3 linked regions of the Struthio camelus genome follow. The protein of the gene in region 1 interacts with the protein of each later gene in a pairwise test. Links are inferred from orthologs where the notes say so. Each region holds a gene or a part of one and is shown in the gene's direction. Other genes may lie near its edges.

Region 1 (6,109 bases):
CCTTGTGATACATAACTGGCTGAATCACAAATGTGAATAGGGACTGTTCATTCAAAGAGAACATAGTTACTGTTAAGTAACTCCGTTACGGAGATAAGCTAAATAAGGACATGATGAGAACAGGGCAAGTGATTCAAGGATCTGGGCTGTTTATATGAAGGTGAAATCATTATTTTGCATTCTTAAACAGTTCTGTGATGTGCCACTATTCCTGTTCTGCCTCATGATCTCGTTCAGCATTCCTTGCTGCAACAGGGAGATGTTCCAACCTAAGGTCAGTCCTTTACGGAAAGGTGTATGCGGCCAGCGGAGGTGAATCCAAAGGCTGAAAAGTTGATTTCAACTCTTTCCCTACACCTGGGAGACATGGGATTCCAAGCACAAACTCAGACCCATTCCAGAATGAGAGGTTTCTTTAATGACATATAGTTGTTGCAAATATGTCTGTGGAAGCTCTGGAAACAGTTCTTCCTTGTTTTGCATCTATGCTGGGAATGCCATCTCTTTAAAATATTGCCTAGTTAACTTTTGAGATTTAACGCAAAGATGTTACTACATCAGGCAAAAACTACTGTCCTGATAGCTCAACAGTTCTCGAGACCAGCCTAGAGAGGTGAAAACCAGAAAGAATACTTGTCCTCTCCATCCTTTCTGTAGGAATCAAAACTGACAAGATTAAATGAGACAATGAATTAATTAAAGACACATAAAAACAAAAAGCCTAGAAGGGGGCTGAGACATACCACTCAGCTCATGCCCTTGACCAAGGGCAGGAACTTGCAGCACATGTTGTCTAACCTACTTTTAAAGCCTCCTTTGATGAAGTCTCCACACCCCTCCCATACCCATTAGGCAATCAAATGCTTTAGCATCTTTGCCATTAAATATTTTCTTAATGCCTCACCTTCATTTTTCTTGCTGCAGTTTATACTGTTGACATCTTGTCCCCTCCATTACAGGCATGAATAGTAGGTTATTCCCTTTCTCTGGGCAATACCCTTTCATTTTCTCAAAAACAACTTATGTCTTCATATTGTTTATCATGTTTACAGTGATTCAAGGAGCGTAAAAAATCTAACAAAATTTTAAGTTGGAATTTTAAAAGCCAAGCAGAGCAAAGCACAAACAAAAATTTCAAACGAGGTCTAGATTCATCCTGCCAGCTTTAAGTGCCAGTTGCAACCAAATCCCAGATGTCAAGGGCTACAGAGAAACAGAAGTCCTCCAACTGGCATTTTAATGCATCTAAGATGAACTGCTTGCTCTTTGCCGCTGCCTACTCACTAGCTGGGATGTCGGGCAATGAGATTTCTAACAAAGCACATGTTTTGGATTAGGACAAAGTCAAATATAGGTGGGTTTTTTTTTTTTAAAGTTAATTTTAGCACTCCCAAGATGAGATACAATTTTAAATTTAAGCGCTATATAGGAGGTAATGCAAGAACCACTAACACAGAGAGACCACAGTGAGGCTTTAGCTAGAGGACTGAAACATCATTTAAATTTCAGTAAAATTAAAAAAAAAACGAACAGAGGAGCAGAATGTGATTCATGGCCTACATGCCACTAAAAATGCGTTCTTATAAACCAAGGAAAAAAAAGGAAACGACCACGGTACATAAAGCATCTATCTACCTCTTAAGCATCAGACAAAAACCAGGCTCGGGCCGAGCTCGAGCTCGAGCTACAGGCGGGACGCGGGGCGGCAACCGCCAGGCTCGGAGCTGCCGGCCCCGCCGGCGTCCGGGCAGAGGCCCCGCCCCCTCTGACGAGCCGCTCCAGCCAGCCAATCACCTGTGAAAGGCCCTCTAGGGGCGGGGCCTCCTACCACCAATCAGAGGCCCGGCTGCTCACAGCGGGTTGGGTCCTGTCGGCCTCGAGAGCGTCCCGGGGCAGGCGCGGCCTGCGGCACCGGCTTTAGCGCCCTGCGAGGGACCAGGCCAAATTAGGGTGCAGGTGACTCTCCCAGCGCCCGAGGTAAAAATTCACTCCGTTTCTTGACGGGGCTATAGGAGGCGAGAGGCAAGAGGAAGCGAAGAAGGCTTCAGAGACCCTCCCCCCGGGATTTCCCCTTGCGCTCCCTACTCAGGCATTGTTCCGGGCGCCTCGGGTCCTGTGTCACGAGGATGCGTAAAGCGTGGCGGACGGGTCGGATTCAGGGTCATACCGCGCCGGCGCAGCGGCACGGACGGGTCGGCCTGAGGGACACGCCATCGTGCCGCGCTCTGCACCGAGGAAAGAGGGAGGGAAACTCCGGGCCAGAGACAAAGGGGGGGAGCCGAGTGGGGAACATCCGGGTCACTCGCTGCCGCCTCAATCCGGGACACGCGCGGGTGCTGCGGCCGCTCACGGTGAGGCCTGGCCGGGCGAGGGGCCTGGGGCGGCGCGCTGGCGGCCGCGGCTCCGGGGCAGCGGGGCCCGGCCTGGCGCGCCCCGCCCGCGGCACGACGGGCCGGGCGGCCGCGGGGCGCGGGGGCCGGGCGGCTTCTGCGGAGACCGTGCGGTCGGGCCCGCCAGCGCAGCGCAGCGCTGCCCGCCGCCCCGCGGCCGCCGCCGGAGGCCGCGGCCGCCGCGGGCCGAGCGCGGCGAGGAGGGCTGGGCGGCACCGGGCCTGCGCGAGGCGGCCCCCGCCCCGGCGAGCGCTCGCCTGGGTCCCGGCGGGCGCCGAGCTGCCCCGCGCAGGCCTCGGCGCCGCCCCGGCCCCTCCGCCGGGCCCTGCAGGCGGGCGGCCCGCGGCCAGCGCAGGCACCGCTCGGCTCGCCCGGGGCCGGGTGGCGGGCGGCGTTGCTGCGGCGGTCCGGACCGAGGGCTCTCGCCGCGCCGCTCCTTCGGCTGTTCTGCTTGCGGCTCTGGTGGCCGTGTGTGTCGGGATAGTAACCCCTTTTGCCCTTTCCCCTGCCGCAGGAGGCGGTTTTCTCTCCCAGTGCGGCGCTGGTCTGTTTTGATTAAATCACAACCGTGGGCTTTCTCTGCTCTTCTGAAAAGTAAAGGTCTTCAAGTTCTTGGGCAAGCTACTCCAGTTTATAACTTATTCTTGTGCTAGTATTCAACCCACAGAGCGGGAATGTGAGGCCAGGAGTCTTAAGTTTATTTTAGGGTTGTTTGAAATGAGTAGGAACTAGTTCAAGTTCTTGACGTTTAAAGAGCATGCTGTTCATGTATTTAGGGACTTGCCACAGGTCAGAACTCTGTGTGTAGTAGATGTTGCTTTCCCGCAGCAGAACTGTTCTTTGTGAGACTTGCTTTTTACGTTTGGAAATAGATTTTTATTTTATTATCTCCCCTATTGGAGGATATAAGTAGCTATGATCTGTAATGGAACACAGCCGGTTCACTCCTACGATAAATGTTTTGGTTTTATTTTGGTGTGTGTGGTTCTTGTTTTTATTTTTTCCCCGAAAGTGGGTAGTAGTAGCAGCAGCAGCAGAGGCAAACTACAAAATAAGTTTTGAAGCTTCTGTTCGTTTCCTAATGTTTTGATAGCAATAAAAGAGGCATTTCTGCCTTTTAATGCGGTGGGGGGGGAGGGGGAAAGAAGGAGGGGAGTAGAGTGGAGTGGAGTGCAAAACCAAATGGAACGTGGAGATGGACCTCTTGTGCTTGCATGGCCCCTGCAAGATAAGGTTTATATATTTTTCCAGGGCAGAAGAATGTGTTCTTTCCAGTGATGCATCCCTTTAATGTGTTCTGACCTCAGTTCTGTTCCATAGCAATAAATTTCTCAAGTGGAGGAAATAAATCAGATGTGTTAGTGGGTTTTTTTTGGTTTCATTTGGTTTTTGGTTTTAATAAGAGCTGTTTTTTCAGGTTTTAACTATTTCAAGTTAATAGTAACATCTTGCATTTGCTAGAAATTGCAAGAGCTAAACGTTAAACTTAGGCATTTGGACAAAATGCTACTGGGAAACTACTACTGCAAATTAAAAATGCATAAATTGTGGAGGAAGATAAACATAGCAGTGAGGATATGAGTTCTTCAGTTTTATTTCTGAAGATCTAGTTTACCTACTATAATATCTCACTCTTTCCTGCTACTTAGTTACTTTTGAGACCAAAATATATATTTAGATGACCAATCTGTGCTTAGCGTATCTCAAGCTCCTGCGGAGCAGCAGTTTGATCAAGATGTCTCGATTCCTCTACTGAAGAGCTGCTAGACAGTGTATGTTAGAAATTTGTTAATAGATTGATTCCCTTTTGAGCAGATTCTAATGGGATCTTCATTCTAAACTGAGCTTTCAGTCTCAGTTGCACATCTACTTTGTTTGTGACAAGAGATGAGTGGTGGGGTTTTTTGTTTTTTGTTTTTTTTTGGATACTTGTCTGTTCTTGCAAGGGTACTGAAGCCTCTGAGCCTCATGAAGAGGTTCACCAGGCGCTGACCCATGCCATGTAAATATGTAAGATATTTAGATGCTCTGAAAAAGAAAGTGACAAGCTCCGGAACTGACAATTCTCCTTTTCCACATCCTTTTATGCTGGATGCTCCTTACGATCTTAGAGTCATGCAGGAGCCACAAAACTCAAAGTGAGTCCCCAGGAGTACAGGAAAATTACTCTCCCAAGACAGTTCTTGATTTACTTTAAAATATGAAAAGAGAAGGGAGAACTTAATGTGGTGTTTACTTGCATAGTAATAAGTGTGTAGCACTCACTGCCTGAAGATACCAATTTTAGTTACTTCAGCGTCCCTGGACCCTTCTAAGACATTGTAACAACAGTCTTGCAGAAGAGAGGCTAGAGGTAGGCACAAATATCAGAGGTCAAGTCCAGCTGTGGTTGAACTTTTTCCCAGTTGTATTCAGTAAAACTTAATCAGCAGTTCAGGTTTGACTGGGGGGGGGGGGAGGGGGGGGCAGGATCGACAAAGGTTCGAACTTGCAATAAAACCACTAACTATATATTGTAATAGATCAAAAATTTTAAGTATGTATTACTAACAACTAAATCTAATATAAATGACTTTCTTTCTAGTTGTTTACCTGTCTCTCTGATTTGATATGGATAAAGTAAATATTAAAACCCTGGGAAGTATCAGTGTTTATCAGTGGTTTTTTTTTTTTCGTTGCAAGGTCTTTGGTATTCAGGGTACTGGAATAGCAAAGACTAGTAGACTACACTTCTTTATCAAGCTTCTCAATATATCCTAGTTAATCACATTTGGCTCATTAATGAACTACAGTGTTATGTGAAATTCACATTCAGACACTGAAGTACTCAATTTTTTTACCCAAGCAGCAGAGTTGCTGCTAATTAAATACTGAGCTATTAAGTCACAGATTCCACTTAACTGTGAAATAATGAAAATCAGCCTAATATTTTCTTCATTTAAAATATACTAATTGGGAAAACATCTTTTTGGCTCATAAATCATTTTGTCAAAGTGGTTTTGGAGCCAAACTGTCTCTTAGTATTACCCTTAACTCTTTGGCTAGGCTGTAGAATAGCTGAGAGCTTTGAACTATTTTTACACGCTGTTATCTTTCCCCCTCCCCCTTGCATAAAATATATTATCCTCAGAACTTAAATAATGGCACTTAATTTTGTGCTGTGAGGAGGGAAGAGCAAGAAATTGTCATTTGAACTAAGGGAACGGAAGGCAGACATTGGGAAGACAAATGTACTACACTTGGGAAGGAAGTGGTACGTGGTCCCTCTTCAAAGCTTGATTTAACGTCTTGAGGTGCAAATCAGTTAAAAGATTAGACTTAATCTTTTTGGTCATAACACAGTGTGTGTATATACACTGAAAAATAGTTCTGAATGTAATCTGATCAGTGGTTAATTAAGTCAAATGCCTCAATATTTGAAGCAGTCTTTATAGAACAGAAGAAAGTCTTAAGTTTACTAGGCTGCCATATAGTGCATAACTAGTGGCAAAAGCTAGCAGCTTACAAAAAGTAACCTAAAACAAGTCAGAACTGGAGCTTGAAAATTCATCATTTTCTTCTGTTGAAAATGTATTTAATTAGTGATGTTCTGAAGGACTTGTGTAGTTTATAGGCCCTCTGAGAAGCCAGTGTTTCCCTTGAGATATACATAATTGCCTGTTAACCACAGGAAATTTAATTCTTCATGTATTTGAGAGCATTCTGTAATATTTTCCTTG
Region 2 (6,109 bases), on another chromosome or scaffold:
GGGGGAGGGAGCGGATGTGCCATGCTATCTCCTGTCAGTCAGGTATTCATATTCCTTAAAATGCAACAGCTACAATACATTTTCTAATTGCATTTTACCCTTTACAGCTGCCCTCAAAATTGAAATTTAATAAAACAGTGAACTCCGTATCACTCTCTCTTTTTTTTTTTGTGACTAATAAATTGTAATCACTGTCAATAAATCTTACTGCTTTAACATACATTTTAATGTACCAAAATAGTCAAAGCAAAAAAGACAGAGGGAGAGAGAGACAGAGAGAATACCTGACCTGAACAGTTATATGAGCAGAACATAAACCCTGCTTCAAACAATATTCCAGGAAAGAAATTAAAGACTTCTTAATTAGTGCAGCAATTAAGCTTTCTTGGTCGCATTTTAATCAGCCCAGGCCCTATCAAAGGACAAACAGAGCGATTTGCAGGTCTTTGAATTTTAAACAGTCTTATTGATTTCAGCACCATAAGTCTTCACTTGACACAGGGAGAATTTTCAAATATCAGTTACAGTAATTTGAGTTTTGCAGATATCAACTCTGGGATAAAAAAGGAAAGCACCTAACAATATCATGACATGAAGGGATGAGCGAGTGACAGGAATGCAACGTAGAAAAAGTTTACAAAGAGCATTCTCAGGATTTGTTGGTGTATTTATGCGAGCGTGTGTGTGTGTGCACAAGCTAAAATAAATCCAGTCGCTTGCCATAATCGTTAGAAACACTTACCAAGCAAGAAGCTTTGGGGAGTCTTGAAGTCTTTCATAAATCTCTTTCTTTCTCCATTCTAATCCCATTGTTTCATTAAACGAGAAAGGTTAACCCAAACCTGTGGCAGTAAACCCTTTCAAACTGCATTTTCTTTAAATGGTTTTGAACCGTGATGATTATATATCCACAAAGACACAAGAAAAGCAGGAGGACTGGTGTGCATCACGTTGTAAGGAAGGTAGGGTGCAGATGAAGTAGTAGGCTTCCTAATTAAGAGTTCACTCAGTACTCCAAGTGGCAATACCACGCGTGTCTGGCTCTGTCTTAATCTTCTCAAAGGTCTGTTTTATATCTTTAGAACGTGTAAGAGAAAGGGAGACAGAAAAGGGCAGTTGAGGCAAAGCGACAATGAACAGAGCTGGTTTTCTACAACTGAAAATAGGAGGATGCAATACATATACATTTTTCAGTGTATTCCAAGTTTTATGTCAACACTACATCCTCCCACTATAATTTAAAGTTTTATAAGCTCCTCCAGACAAACGTTCCGTAAAAGTGTTCTGTACTATTATGGGTCCACGAGATTTCAAAACAAAGTGTCACTCTGTGTTTTCTTGTTTTTATTTGTCCATTCTGAAGATTTTAGTGTAGGAAATCTAAAACTTTACGAGCAAAAGACATCTTTGTGGTATTAAAACATGTTTTTCTGGTATTAAAATATAAATGTTCTCAGATATAAGAAAACAAGTTAAAGTACAGTGAGCACATAGATATATGAGAATGCTTTATATCTGATAAAGTGGAAATTCCCCCCGCACAGAATTACAATAGTTGAAATTATCCACTGTGTAGATGTGTCATCCCATGAGTCATATCTCATATAATAGTACACATTAAAAAAAAAAAAAAGGAAGCTCAGGGCACATACATGCATCACAATTACTTAAGTACATGATTTATGTTTTTAAAACCGAAAGAGCTGTGTACACCCGACCCTCTGCTTTTGCAGACGGTCCATCTCTATGAATGACTGTTTCTTTGCCCCTACGAAAAACTGAAGTGCCCTGAAGAAAAAAAAAAAGAGCAAAACAAAGCTCTCTACTTCCCTGAACGACCCCTACCATCCCACCTACCGGGGCTATCAAACATGCCCGACTCCAAGCGAAAACTCCGTCCCAAACTTCGGGGGCGGCCAGGTATGGCAGCACGCACGGGCCTGGCCAGCACGGGCAGGCAGGAGGCACACCGCCCATCCGCCACTGCGCATGTGTGGGCAAGCGCAGCAGCTCACTTTGCGCGCTAGCGGGCGGCCGGGCTGCGCGGCGCGGTCACCTGTTGCGGGCAGCGGCGCGGGAGCCGTCGTCCCTCCGCGGCCGCCCGCCTGCCGCGTTTTTAAGTTTACTTGAGCAAAACGCCGCCGGGCTCAGGCGTTTTCGCCTAGTCCCGCCGGGCCTTGGTTTTTGCACGCTTTTTTTTTTTTTTTTGGGGGGGGGGGGGAGGAGCCGCCTCGGTCCCTGCCGCGGCTCCGCGCTCCCCTTCCGCGGGGGAAGAGGGCACCGCCGCCCCCTCCGCCGGCAGTGAAAGCCATGCGGTGGCTGGACGGCGTGTAGCGGGGCGGGCTGTGCCCTTTGATCCGGCCGCTTTCAGGAAGTGCCCTGCAGCTGTGGCCGTGTTGGGGCTTCCGTGCGCGGGGCTCTGCGCCCCGCGCAGCCACCGCCGCGCCCCCCGCCGCTCCACAAAAGGTGCTCGGCGCTGCGCGGCGCGCATCCCTCCGCACCCTCAGCAGCCACTCCCGCTCCGCTAGGAGGAGCGTTTGCGGTCTCCGGAGTGAAAATAATAATAGTAATAGTCCTAATAATAATAATAATAATAATAATAGGGAGGTTTCTGCTTTTGTGCCTGTGCCCCGGCGCGGGGCAGGCTGCGCGGCCGCCCGCAGCGCCGTCTGCCCTCGTCCCGCGCCGGGAGAGCCCCGCTCCCTGCGGGCTTCAGGAGAAGCTTGAAACGCTCGTGTTTCTCCACAAACTGTGTTGACAAGCGATTGCTGAAAAGGGCTGGGAAAATTACATCTCGTCTCTGGTGGGGTGAAATATGAAACATGTAATCTAACGGTTCCTGAAGAGGAGGAGAGGGGGGAGGAAGAGGGACTTCTCTCCCTCTCTCTGTTTCCCTGCTCCGGGTTCCTGGTTGGATAATTTGGGTTAATACTAGTGAGTGAGCCTTTTGCTGCTTCAAAGGGTATTTCAAGTTGCCGGAGCTCCTCCCCTCCGCACCGTGTGACAACAACAACTCGTCCAGAGAGCGAGCGAGCGGCGAGCGGCGGCGGCAGCCAGCACTTCCCAGCTCATTTTCTCTCTGTCATTCCCCTCTCAATCTTTGATCAATGTACTTGCCAGAGAGAACCGAAGTCCTTCAAACCTCCTCCTTTTCACCTTCGTCTTTAACGTGGTGCTAGAGCAAGGACCACAAAAAGAAACTGCCCTCCCCCTCCCCTCGGCCCCAGCCCCGCCGCCCGGAGCGGACTTCTCCTCCTCCTCCTCCTCCTCCTCCTCCGTCCCCACTTGCGGGACACTTTGTGCGTTTCTCTCTCTCACTCTGCCCCCTGCTCTCTCGCTCGCCGCAGCACCTGATCCGGGGTTATTCCCCCCTTCTTCTCCCCCCCTCCTCCCTTCTCCTCTCCTCTCCCCCCTTTTTTTTTTAATATATATTTCTTTTAATTTCCCCCCTTTCCCCTGCGTGTGTGTGTGGGAACTTTCCCCCCTCCCCCTGCCCCCCTCCGCCGTATATGTGACCATGGCCGTACCGGCTGCTTTGATCCCTCCGACCCAGCTGGTCCCCCCTCAGCCTCCGGTCTCAACTTCTGCCGCCTGCACCACCACCACCACCACCTCCTCCTCGTCGGCCACCTCCTCTCCGTCTCCGTCCATCGCTCCCCCGCCGGCCGCCTCGGGGACAAACCTATTCCGGCCGGAGCCCATCGCAGCGGCGGCGGCGGCGGCGGCGGCAGCGGCGGCAGCGGCGGCCACAGTCACCTCCACCACCAGCGGCAGCGGCAGCGGCGGCGGCAGCGGCGGCGGCGGCGGCGGCAGCCCCAGCCTGGGCACCGGCGGCGGCGGCGGCGGCGGCGGCAGCAGCGGCGGCGGCGGCGGCGGCAGCGGCACCTCCACTCCCAATGCCAGCGCGGCCAGCGCGGCCGGCAGCCTGCCGGGCAAGCCGGTGTACTCGACCCCGTCCCCGGTGGAGAACACCCCCCAGAATAACGAGTGCAAGATGGTGGATCTGAGGGGGGCCAAAGTGGCCTCCTTCACCGTGGAGGGCTGCGAGCTCATCTGCCTGCCCCAGGCTTTCGACCTCTTCCTGAAGCACTTGGTGGGGGGCTTGCACACGGTCTACACCAAGCTGAAGCGGCTGGAGATCACGCCCGTGGTGTGCAACGTGGAGCAGGTCCGCATCCTGAGGGGGCTGGGGGCCATCCAGCCCGGGGTCAACCGCTGCAAACTCATCTCCAGGAAGGATTTCGAGACCCTCTACAACGACTGCACCAACGCCAGGTAAGCGCCGCCAGCGCTCGCACGCCCCACGCGGGGCCCCGCCGCCCCCCTCCCCGCCGCCGCCGTCCCTCCCCGCGCCGCGCCGCTTCCCACGGCCGCCGAGCCGGCCCGGGCCGGGGGTGAGGGGCGCCCGGCCGGCTCCCCTGCGGCCACATGCGCTCGCCCCCTCCTCCCCTCCGTGCCTGGCACCCGACCAGCCTGCCGAGCAGCCGGCTGAGTTCCTCCTCGCTGGGACAGGGAGAGAAAGGAGAAAGGGTGTTTCTGCCCCGCTGGCCCCCTCCGCTCGTGCCGTGTGCCGTTGTCGCACTGTCATTGTGCCCTTCTGGCCGCGCTCGGCCGAGGGCTGCCGGGGGCCCGGGGCAGGGCGTGCGGGCCGGGGAGTGGAGGTGTGTGTGTGTGGGGAGGGGGAGCAGCAGGGACAGAAAGTGCTTTCTGACCTCCGCCGTCCTTAGCTTTACACGTGGATGTATCTGTAAAACGGACAGCCCTGGGAAAAAGCTGTCCGAGGGGTGTTCAGGAGTGGGCGGGGAGCGGCCCTGGGTGTGCGGGGGGGGGGGGCGGTGGGGAAGGCACCGTGGGTTTCGCGTAAATCGGACGAGGCGTTGAATCGCCTTCCGGGGCACTTCCCCAGCCGAGGGCCCTATCCCGGGGTGCATGGAGGCCACTTCGCCATCAGCTGCTGTCATATATCCGAAGGGGCACGTGCACTTTTTGTATAGGTCTATGAGGCAGTTGCCACATGGCGAGCGCGGAGGGGGAGGAGGGAGGGAGGGAGGCAGGAGGTGGAGGAGGAGGAGGAGGAGGAGGGCGGGAAGACGGAGGAGGAGGTGGTGTCGGCTGATTTTTTTTTCTTTTTTTTTCTCTTTTTTTTTTTTTTTTGCCGTGGGGTAGCGGGGAGAGGTGCCAGGCGGCCGGGCTGGCCCGTTCCCCCGCCGGCAGGGCCGTCCCCGAGGAGCAGGTGTGAGCAGCGCCCTGCCCCGGCCGGCCGCCGGGGAAGCGGCAGCGCTGAATCACGCCGGGGCGCGCAGCCCGCCCACGGTTACGCGCGCGCGGCGGCCGCGCAGCTCCGCAGCCCGGGGACGGGGCGCGCACATGCCCCCTCCCCCGCCCCCACGCGAAAGAGAGCAAGTGAAAGCCCACCCTTGCCGCAGCCGGGGTGGGTAGGTGGGGGGTGGAAGCAGAGAAAGTCCCGCTGCAACCGCAGCCAGCTGCAAAACTGCGGGCCGAAGAGCGGGGGGGGGGGGGGTAACCCCCAATCTGTAGGTTACGGGGCCAAATCTGTCCGATAAGGAAAAGGGATCAAATAACTGCCGTGACTTGGAGATCAGAGCGCTGGGGAGTGTCTCCAGTGCACCGGGGCTCCCCAGTGGTTGGGGTTAGTGTGTGTGTTGGCGGGGGGGGGGGTAGTTTGCAGCGCTGAGGGTGGTGGGAACTTCACCCGGTAGCTAGCGAAGGTTTGCCACTAAGGAGACTTAGCCCAAGTCCCGTCTTCGGATGCTGCTTTCAAATAAACGCAAACAAGCAGATCGGGCTCGTTTCACTTTTCCATTGTCACATTTCGAGGTGCAGCAACAGCCAGCACGTGGAGCATTAGCCCCGTGCGAGACCGCGCTCGTCGCCTCTGGTCGCGCCCGGCTGTGACATTCCCTCCTTCCCCCCGTACCGGTGTAGCCGAGGGTGCTCGGGGCTCACTAGCAGAGAGCCAGGCAAAGCAAAACACTTCTTGTGCACCACCTCCTGCTAGATTGATTAGCGAAGTTCTTGAATATTCAGGGCAGCAGGGACAGAACAGCCTGGAATAACTTCCAAGCACTGACATACTGTAACTACTTGG
Region 3 (6,109 bases), on another chromosome or scaffold:
AAAAATTAAGGAAAACGGTAACAAGCGCGGCCTGGTGCTCTCTTAGCAGCAGACAAGCGGGAAAGGCCAGTTCTTCCCAAAAGCTCAATCGTTTTCCGGCTGGTGCTAGCCACGAAACTACCAGACTGCCGAGACCTCAATAATTTGCTGCTTGAACGAGTCGCGAGGAACTTTTACATAGAGCTGACAGACCGAGAGACTAACGGTTCATGTGGTTGGGGCAAAGAGCAGCTATAAGGTCATTTCTGCCCTGAAAGACAGAGTGAAACTAGGCGGTTTTCTCCCCCACAGCACTCAGCTATGCTATACAGCACACCGGAAAGATGATGCGCCTTTCCCACCTGGCCCCGGCTCATTTAATCGCGTGTCATTTCCCAGCTCTCTTTGAGGCCGGCTAACCCCCGCCACGAGGCCACAAACGGGGGTGAAACCCGGTTCCCACCAGCCTGCGCAGCGGCGTTTCGAGCTGCGCGGGTCACCGCGGCTTTCTGACCGCAGCTTTTTGGGACAAATGTCTCGGTTCGCTCTGAAGTGAACACGAGCAAGCAGCCGCTCCTGGAGGGCAGCGGGGCTGAGGGCTGGCAGGAGGGGTAAACACCCAGCGCGCGGCCGCCACGGATGCTGCTGGAGCTGCGTTTTGTCCTCTCCCGTGCAGAAACATCCTCTCTCGAGCAGAAACGCTGAGCGGAGAGGAGCGGGCGGAGGTCCACTGGCGAACCGCAGGAGAGCGGCTTCCTCGGTCGCGGCCACGCAAGGACCCGGCATGGACAACTCCTCCCAGTGGCACGTGCCCTTTAACGCCACCAAGTATTTCCTCGTCCCCATCTACAGCCTCGTGCTGGTGGCCGGTCTGCCCCTCAACGCCCTGGCCTTCTGGGCCCTGCTGTGCCAGGCCAACGCGTCGGCGCTCTCCGCCTACTTGCTGAACGCGATGGCGGCCAACCTGCTGCAGCTTCTGACGCTGCCCTTCTGGATCCACTACAGCCAGCGGGACCACGCTTGGCCCTGGGGCAGCGCCGCCTGCACAGGGGTGGGCCTGGCCTTCCTCGCTGCCCTCTACGCCAAGAACAGCTTCCTCTGCCTCATTGCCGTGGCGCGCTACCTGGGGCTGGCGCATCCCCTGCGCTTCCGCGGGCTGCAGGCGGCCCGCAGCGCGGCCGGGGTGAGCGCTGCCTCGTGGGCGCTGGTGGTCACCGTGTGCCTGGTGGGCGGCGTCCTCCAGCCCTCGGAGATGCTGAAACCTCACCTCTGCTACGAGCAGCTGTGCCCGAGGGAAAAGGGCTACGCCTTGTTCAGGACCACCGCCGCGGCCCTCTCCTTCTTCCTGCCCTGCTTCTTCATGACTTTCTTCTACCTCCGCGGCCTGGGGAAGCTCAAGGAGATGACCAGCCTGGATGGGAAAGCCAAGCGGAAGATCGCCCGGTCCATCGCTTGCATGATTGCCGCCTTCTACCTGCTCCAGGTCCCTTACCAGGCCACCTCCTACTCCAGGTTCGTGGCGCAGCTGCTGTCGGAGGACACCTGCCCCTTCCAGAGCCGCCTCTTCCTCTACGACCGCCTGGCGCTGTGCCTCACCGCCCTCAGCGACGTGGCCGACCCCCTCCTCTACGTCCTGCTCCTCGGCGACGCGCGGGAGGAGCTGGGGAAGCGCCTGGCTGGCCGGGGCAGAGCCCCTCACCGCCGGCCGATGGTGTCCGGCACGGCCCGGCCGGACGCGGCCCAACCGGCGTGCACCGCGCTGTGACCCCCCCCCCCCAACCGCCCAGCCCCCAAACCTCCATCCCGGCCGCCGCCATCTCCGCTTCGGGAAGAGCATCCGGGACGGAGCGAGCCCCGGGATCAGGGCTGGCGGCAGGGCCGGGGGGGGGGGGGGAACACGACCAGGCCCCGTGAGGCGGCAGTTGGGGGGGGGGGGGCTCAAACAAGCCTCGTTTTTTGGGGCCGTTCCCCACTTTTCCTCACCGCATCAAGCGATTTTTGTTTTTTTTCCAAACGTTCCCCCCCCCCCAAAAAAAAAAAACCCATTTTCCTGCCTCCGGGATGACGACGACGACGCGGTCTCGTCCCCCCCCCCCCCCCCGCCCTCACACCCCGGCAGCGCCCCTCTCCTGTCAGGGTGGCCCCGCCCCCAGGCTGCCGGTAACGGTGCCCGAGCTTTCAAACCAGCCTATCAGCGTGCAGCGTTGAGGTGGCCGGGAGATTGACAGGAGGATGGAACAATAGCCTGCCGGCACCGCGCCCCGCCTCAGCCAATCGTCGTCGAGGACGGTGCCGAAGCTCCCGCCCTCCCTCTCCTGGCCCTTGCGTCATTGTCTTCTGGCCAATAGGAAATCGCCGGCGCGGAGTGTCGGGGCGGGGGGGGAGCCGTGGGAGAGCACAAGGCGCACGCGCAGAACGGCTCGGTTTCAGCGCTCGGGCTACGCCCCCCTCTGCCCCCGGTCTATGGCAGCCCCGCCTAGGGGCGGGGAGCGCCGGCGCCGCTCCCACGTTTATAGGCGGAAAGGGGTAAACGAACAGCACTCTCGACCAATCAGAACAGACACCGGCCTCGCGCCTTGGAGTGACAAGCAGGCTCGCCAATCGCCTCCTCCTCCCGCCTCCCGCGCTGCCGCGCGTTGGCCCGCCCTCTCCCCTCTGTCATTGGCTGGTCCGCGGACGGGCACCCCGCTCAGCGAATCGCGGCGCGCAGCGCCTCCCCTGCCGTCCAACGGCGGCGCGGCGGGGGGGGTTGGGCTGGCTTTCGTCCGGGCCGAGCAGCGCAGAGGGCGGCGTGGGCGCCATTTTGTGAGCAGCCTCAAGCGGGGAGGCGGCGGCGAGGAGGAAGCAGAAGCGGGCAGCGTGCGCCGGAGCGAGCGGTGAGTGGCCGCCGTTTCCCCGCTCCCGGGGTGGGGCGGGGGGGGCGGGGGGGGCTGGGCCGCAGCCAAGGGAGCCGGCGGCGCCGGTTTAGTTAACGGCGTCACACCGCCCCCCCTCTCCACCGCCTCAGCGCGAACCAGCCGTTGTTCCCCCCCCCACACACACCCTTCCCATCGCCGTGATGGTGGGAGGGGGGGCGGTTAACGGCTGCCTTGAGGAGGAGGAGGAAGGGGGGGGAGGGGGATGATGGCGGCGCGTCCCACAGCGCCGTATGTGTGTGTGGGGGGAGGGGGAGCCGTTGGCCGGGCGCGACCACGGCGAGAGCCGGGGAGGGGGGGGGGGAGGAGGGGAAGCGGAGAACGGAGCGGCGCCTCCTTGTGGGCGATACCATTCTGCGGTGGAGGGGGGGGGAACGCGCTGCGTAAACAGCCCTTGTGGGAAGGGGCCGGGAGGAGGGGGCGTGGCCAAGCCGGGAGGAGGGGGCGTGGCCAAGCCAGGTGAAAGCCGCCAGCCCGAGGAGGGGGCGTGGTCAAGCCAGGTGAAAGCGGCTAGCGCCCCGAGGGGGCGTGGCCATCCTGGAGTGGGCGTGGCCAGCCCGCTGAGCAGAGTCAGACGGGATTGGGGTAAGGGGGCGTGGCCATCCCAGGAGGGGGCGTGGCCACACTCCACGTGGCGCTGGCCCTGTTGAAGCCCCAAAGCTGCCGGGGTTGTTGGGGGGGGGGGGGGGGGAAGGAGGAGGTAACAGGACGTCGCTGCCCGAAGATTTGGGTGGAAAACAGGCCGCTTTTGGGGCTGGATTTCTCCCTCCCCCCCTTTTTCCCCTTACCCCCCTTAAAAAAAACAAAATAAATACAAACTGCTTTTCTGCATTTCTCGCCTTCCTGTCTCTCGAGCCGTAGCCCGAGGCAGTCGCCGCCTGTCGTAGCCCCTTCCCGCCCTCCCGGGCCGGATCACACGCGAGCGGGTGTATGTAGCACTGTATTTCTCTTCCAGGCTAAAGGCTCCTCTCTGCCATCATCATCATCACGATACTCACTCGCCAGCTTTTCTGGTTCCTTCCGAGATTGTAACTTTATTCCCCCCCCCCTTCCCCCTCTTGTCGTTTTGCTGGTAATAACCTGCTTCTGCAGTATCTGGCAGGGTTTAAAAAGCGGGGGGGAAAAAAAAAAGCAAACAAACCAAAAAAAAAAACACCCAAAAGACTTTCTTCTGGCCTCTGCTGTGACTCAGATCCCCGAGGTTGCTTGAGCTCCAGTGACCTGGCTTGTAGATCCCTCTTCGCATCCTCTTTCAGGATCCGATGTGTCGTGTGTTCGCTCGGTTCTCCCGTCTCCTCCTTGCCTCAGGGTTATGCGTGTGAGCCTGATGCATCGCCCTGTACGAATCCGCCCTCCGCCACAAGCTCACAGGTGTCTGACGTCCGAGCTGCTCCCTCGGAGACGGGAGAAGCAGAAGGGATTAGAGCGGAGACGGTTTTAAGAGCGTTAGCTGGAAGCGAGGACAGCTGTGAGCTTGGGGCCGTTGGGAGGCCGGCCGATCTCTCTTGGGGGGAGCGGGAGAGGCGGGCAGCGTTGCTGAGGAACCCTGACTCAATCTGTCCCTTCTCCTTTCACAGGGCAGCGAGGCGAAACCCCATCCCTCCTCACTGGAGCTCAGCTTCGTATTAACTCCCCTCCCCACACACGCACACCTCCCGATTTTATAGAGCCATTTTAACGGTGCCCCTGCGGCCTCTTGCTCCCCGCGCCACACTGGAGCTGGATTTAAGATGTAATTTTGAGAGTCAACCTGTATTTTTTTTGCAGCAGCTGGGTTAGAGGAGGAGCCTTTTAGCCCCTCATGAGCTGACCTCTCTCGGGTATTTTTAGAGTGAAGTGATGGTGTGCAAAGGGCTTTGATGGTCTCCTGCCGAGAGCTCTCCCCGCGCGGTCCTCTGGCAACCGCGGCTGGAACAGAGCGTGAGAGAGAGGGAGAGAACAGAAATGATCGTTGCTGACTTGACCTTTCGGCACCTCCCGTTTTTCTAATCTGGGCTATTTTTATTTTTGTTTTTTTACAGCGAGATTTTTTTGATCTTCAGCTACAGTAAGTTATTCAAAATTTTTTTCATTTTTCCTGCCTTTCCACTGATTTCCTTTTTATTGTTGTTGCTAGTTACTATTACTATTATACTACTATAATGCTGATGACTTTACTATGATGATATGTTGCTGATGGTGATGATAATGACACTGCTGATTTTTAACCGGATGAAATCGAGTTTTTCTGAGTGTTCCTGACTGAGCTGGGTTTTTACCCTTTGTGAGACACAGCGAGGTTTTTAAAATTTTTAAGTGGATTGATCACGTTAACTCTTTCCCCCCCCTCCCCCGACTGCTGAGAGTGGGACCCGGTTTCTCCTGAACTGTTTTAGAGCGTCTCTGGAAGTCTGTATTTTTATTTTTTTTTATTTTTTTTATTTTTTTTTATTTTTTTAATTTTTACTCTTTCGTTTGTGCCATTTTTAAACTGTTGCTGCCATATGATGTCTGTGGTGCTGGTCGCCTGCGGCGGCGACGGCCCTTTCCCCCCCGAACGGCCCCTCCCTCCTCCTCCTGTCCCCCTTTTTCCTCCCCTCCTCCCCGAAACCCCTCGTCCTGCTCTCTTCCTCTACGCCGTCCTTCCCTCAAAACAACCCACCGCGATGCCACGGACGCCCGGCCTGGAGCGACGGCAGCCGGCGGAGCCAGCCGCGGAGCAGATAAACCCCTCCCGGGCCATGGTAAGAGGTGCGAGGGCCAGTAGGTTTCCTTGCGAGCTTCGGCCGCCAGAGCTAAAGGTCCTGGCACGGAAGAGGCGCCGCCGCCGGGACTTGCTTAGCGCGAGAGGCCCGGTCAGGGTCAGCCCGCCGCCGGGACGCCCGCTCGGCTCGGCGCGGCCCCGCAGGCTCCCGGCGATTCGGCTCGGCTCCTGAGCGAGGATTTAAAAAAAAAAACCCGCGGGGTCGCGCGGCGGCCGCCGCTGCCTCCGGCGTCGCGAGAAGAGCGGAGGAAGGAACGCGGTCCGACGCGGAGCCCCGAAGACCTCGCAGACGGCCCCGCCGCTGCCGTAACGGCCTCCTGCCAAGGCGCCCGGCGTCCTGCGAGCCGACCCGCGCGGCCGCCCGTCCGGAGACGGCGCGGGGCCAGAGCGCGCCGGGGACGAAGCGAAGTTACCGACGGCGCCCTCCGCTCACGGGAGGGCAGGTCGTTCCCGGCTGGTGCTTGTGGCAAAG

Evidence for each region.
Region 2: the proteins of UBE2I (region 1) and DACH1 interact in a two-hybrid assay, tested with the Homo sapiens proteins (2 studies listed by BioGRID and IntAct). The link is inferred for Struthio camelus from reciprocal best matches to the Homo sapiens genes UBE2I and DACH1.
Region 3: the proteins of UBE2I (region 1) and HNRNPC interact in a two-hybrid assay, tested with the Homo sapiens proteins (2 studies listed by BioGRID and IntAct). The two-hybrid records come from large-scale screens. The link is inferred for Struthio camelus from reciprocal best matches to the Homo sapiens genes UBE2I and HNRNPC.

What each region holds. Positions count from the first base shown.
Region 1 is NC_090956.1:242,158-248,266, reverse strand, and holds the start of UBE2I (SUMO-conjugating enzyme UBC9), read left to right. Parts: upstream 1-1,816; 5' UTR 1,817-1,977; exon of another isoform or gene 1,978-2,351; intron 2,352-6,109. UniProt on the Homo sapiens protein: Accepts the ubiquitin-like proteins SUMO1, SUMO2, SUMO3, SUMO4 and SUMO1P1/SUMO5 from the UBLE1A-UBLE1B E1 complex and catalyzes their covalent attachment to other proteins with the help of an E3 ligase such as RANBP2, CBX4 and ZNF451.
Region 2 is NC_090942.1:179,041,288-179,047,396, forward strand, and holds the start of DACH1 (dachshund homolog 1), read left to right. Parts: upstream 1-2,390; 5' UTR 2,391-3,517; coding exon 3,518-4,275; intron 4,276-6,109. UniProt on the Homo sapiens protein: Transcription factor that is involved in regulation of organogenesis. Seems to be a regulator of SIX1, SIX6 and probably SIX5.
Region 3 is NC_090970.1:26,788-32,896, reverse strand, and holds the start of HNRNPC (heterogeneous nuclear ribonucleoproteins C1/C2), read left to right. Parts: upstream 1-2,391; 5' UTR 2,392-2,855; intron 2,856-4,471; exon of another isoform or gene 4,472-4,626; intron 4,627-4,915; 5' UTR 4,916-4,941; exon of another isoform or gene 4,942-5,624; intron 5,625-6,109. Other genes in the region: G-protein coupled receptor 4-like, read left to right, coding at 764-1,744. UniProt on the Homo sapiens protein: Binds pre-mRNA and nucleates the assembly of 40S hnRNP particles. Interacts with poly-U tracts in the 3'-UTR or 5'-UTR of mRNA and modulates the stability and the level of translation of bound mRNA molecules. Single HNRNPC tetramers bind 230-240 nucleotides.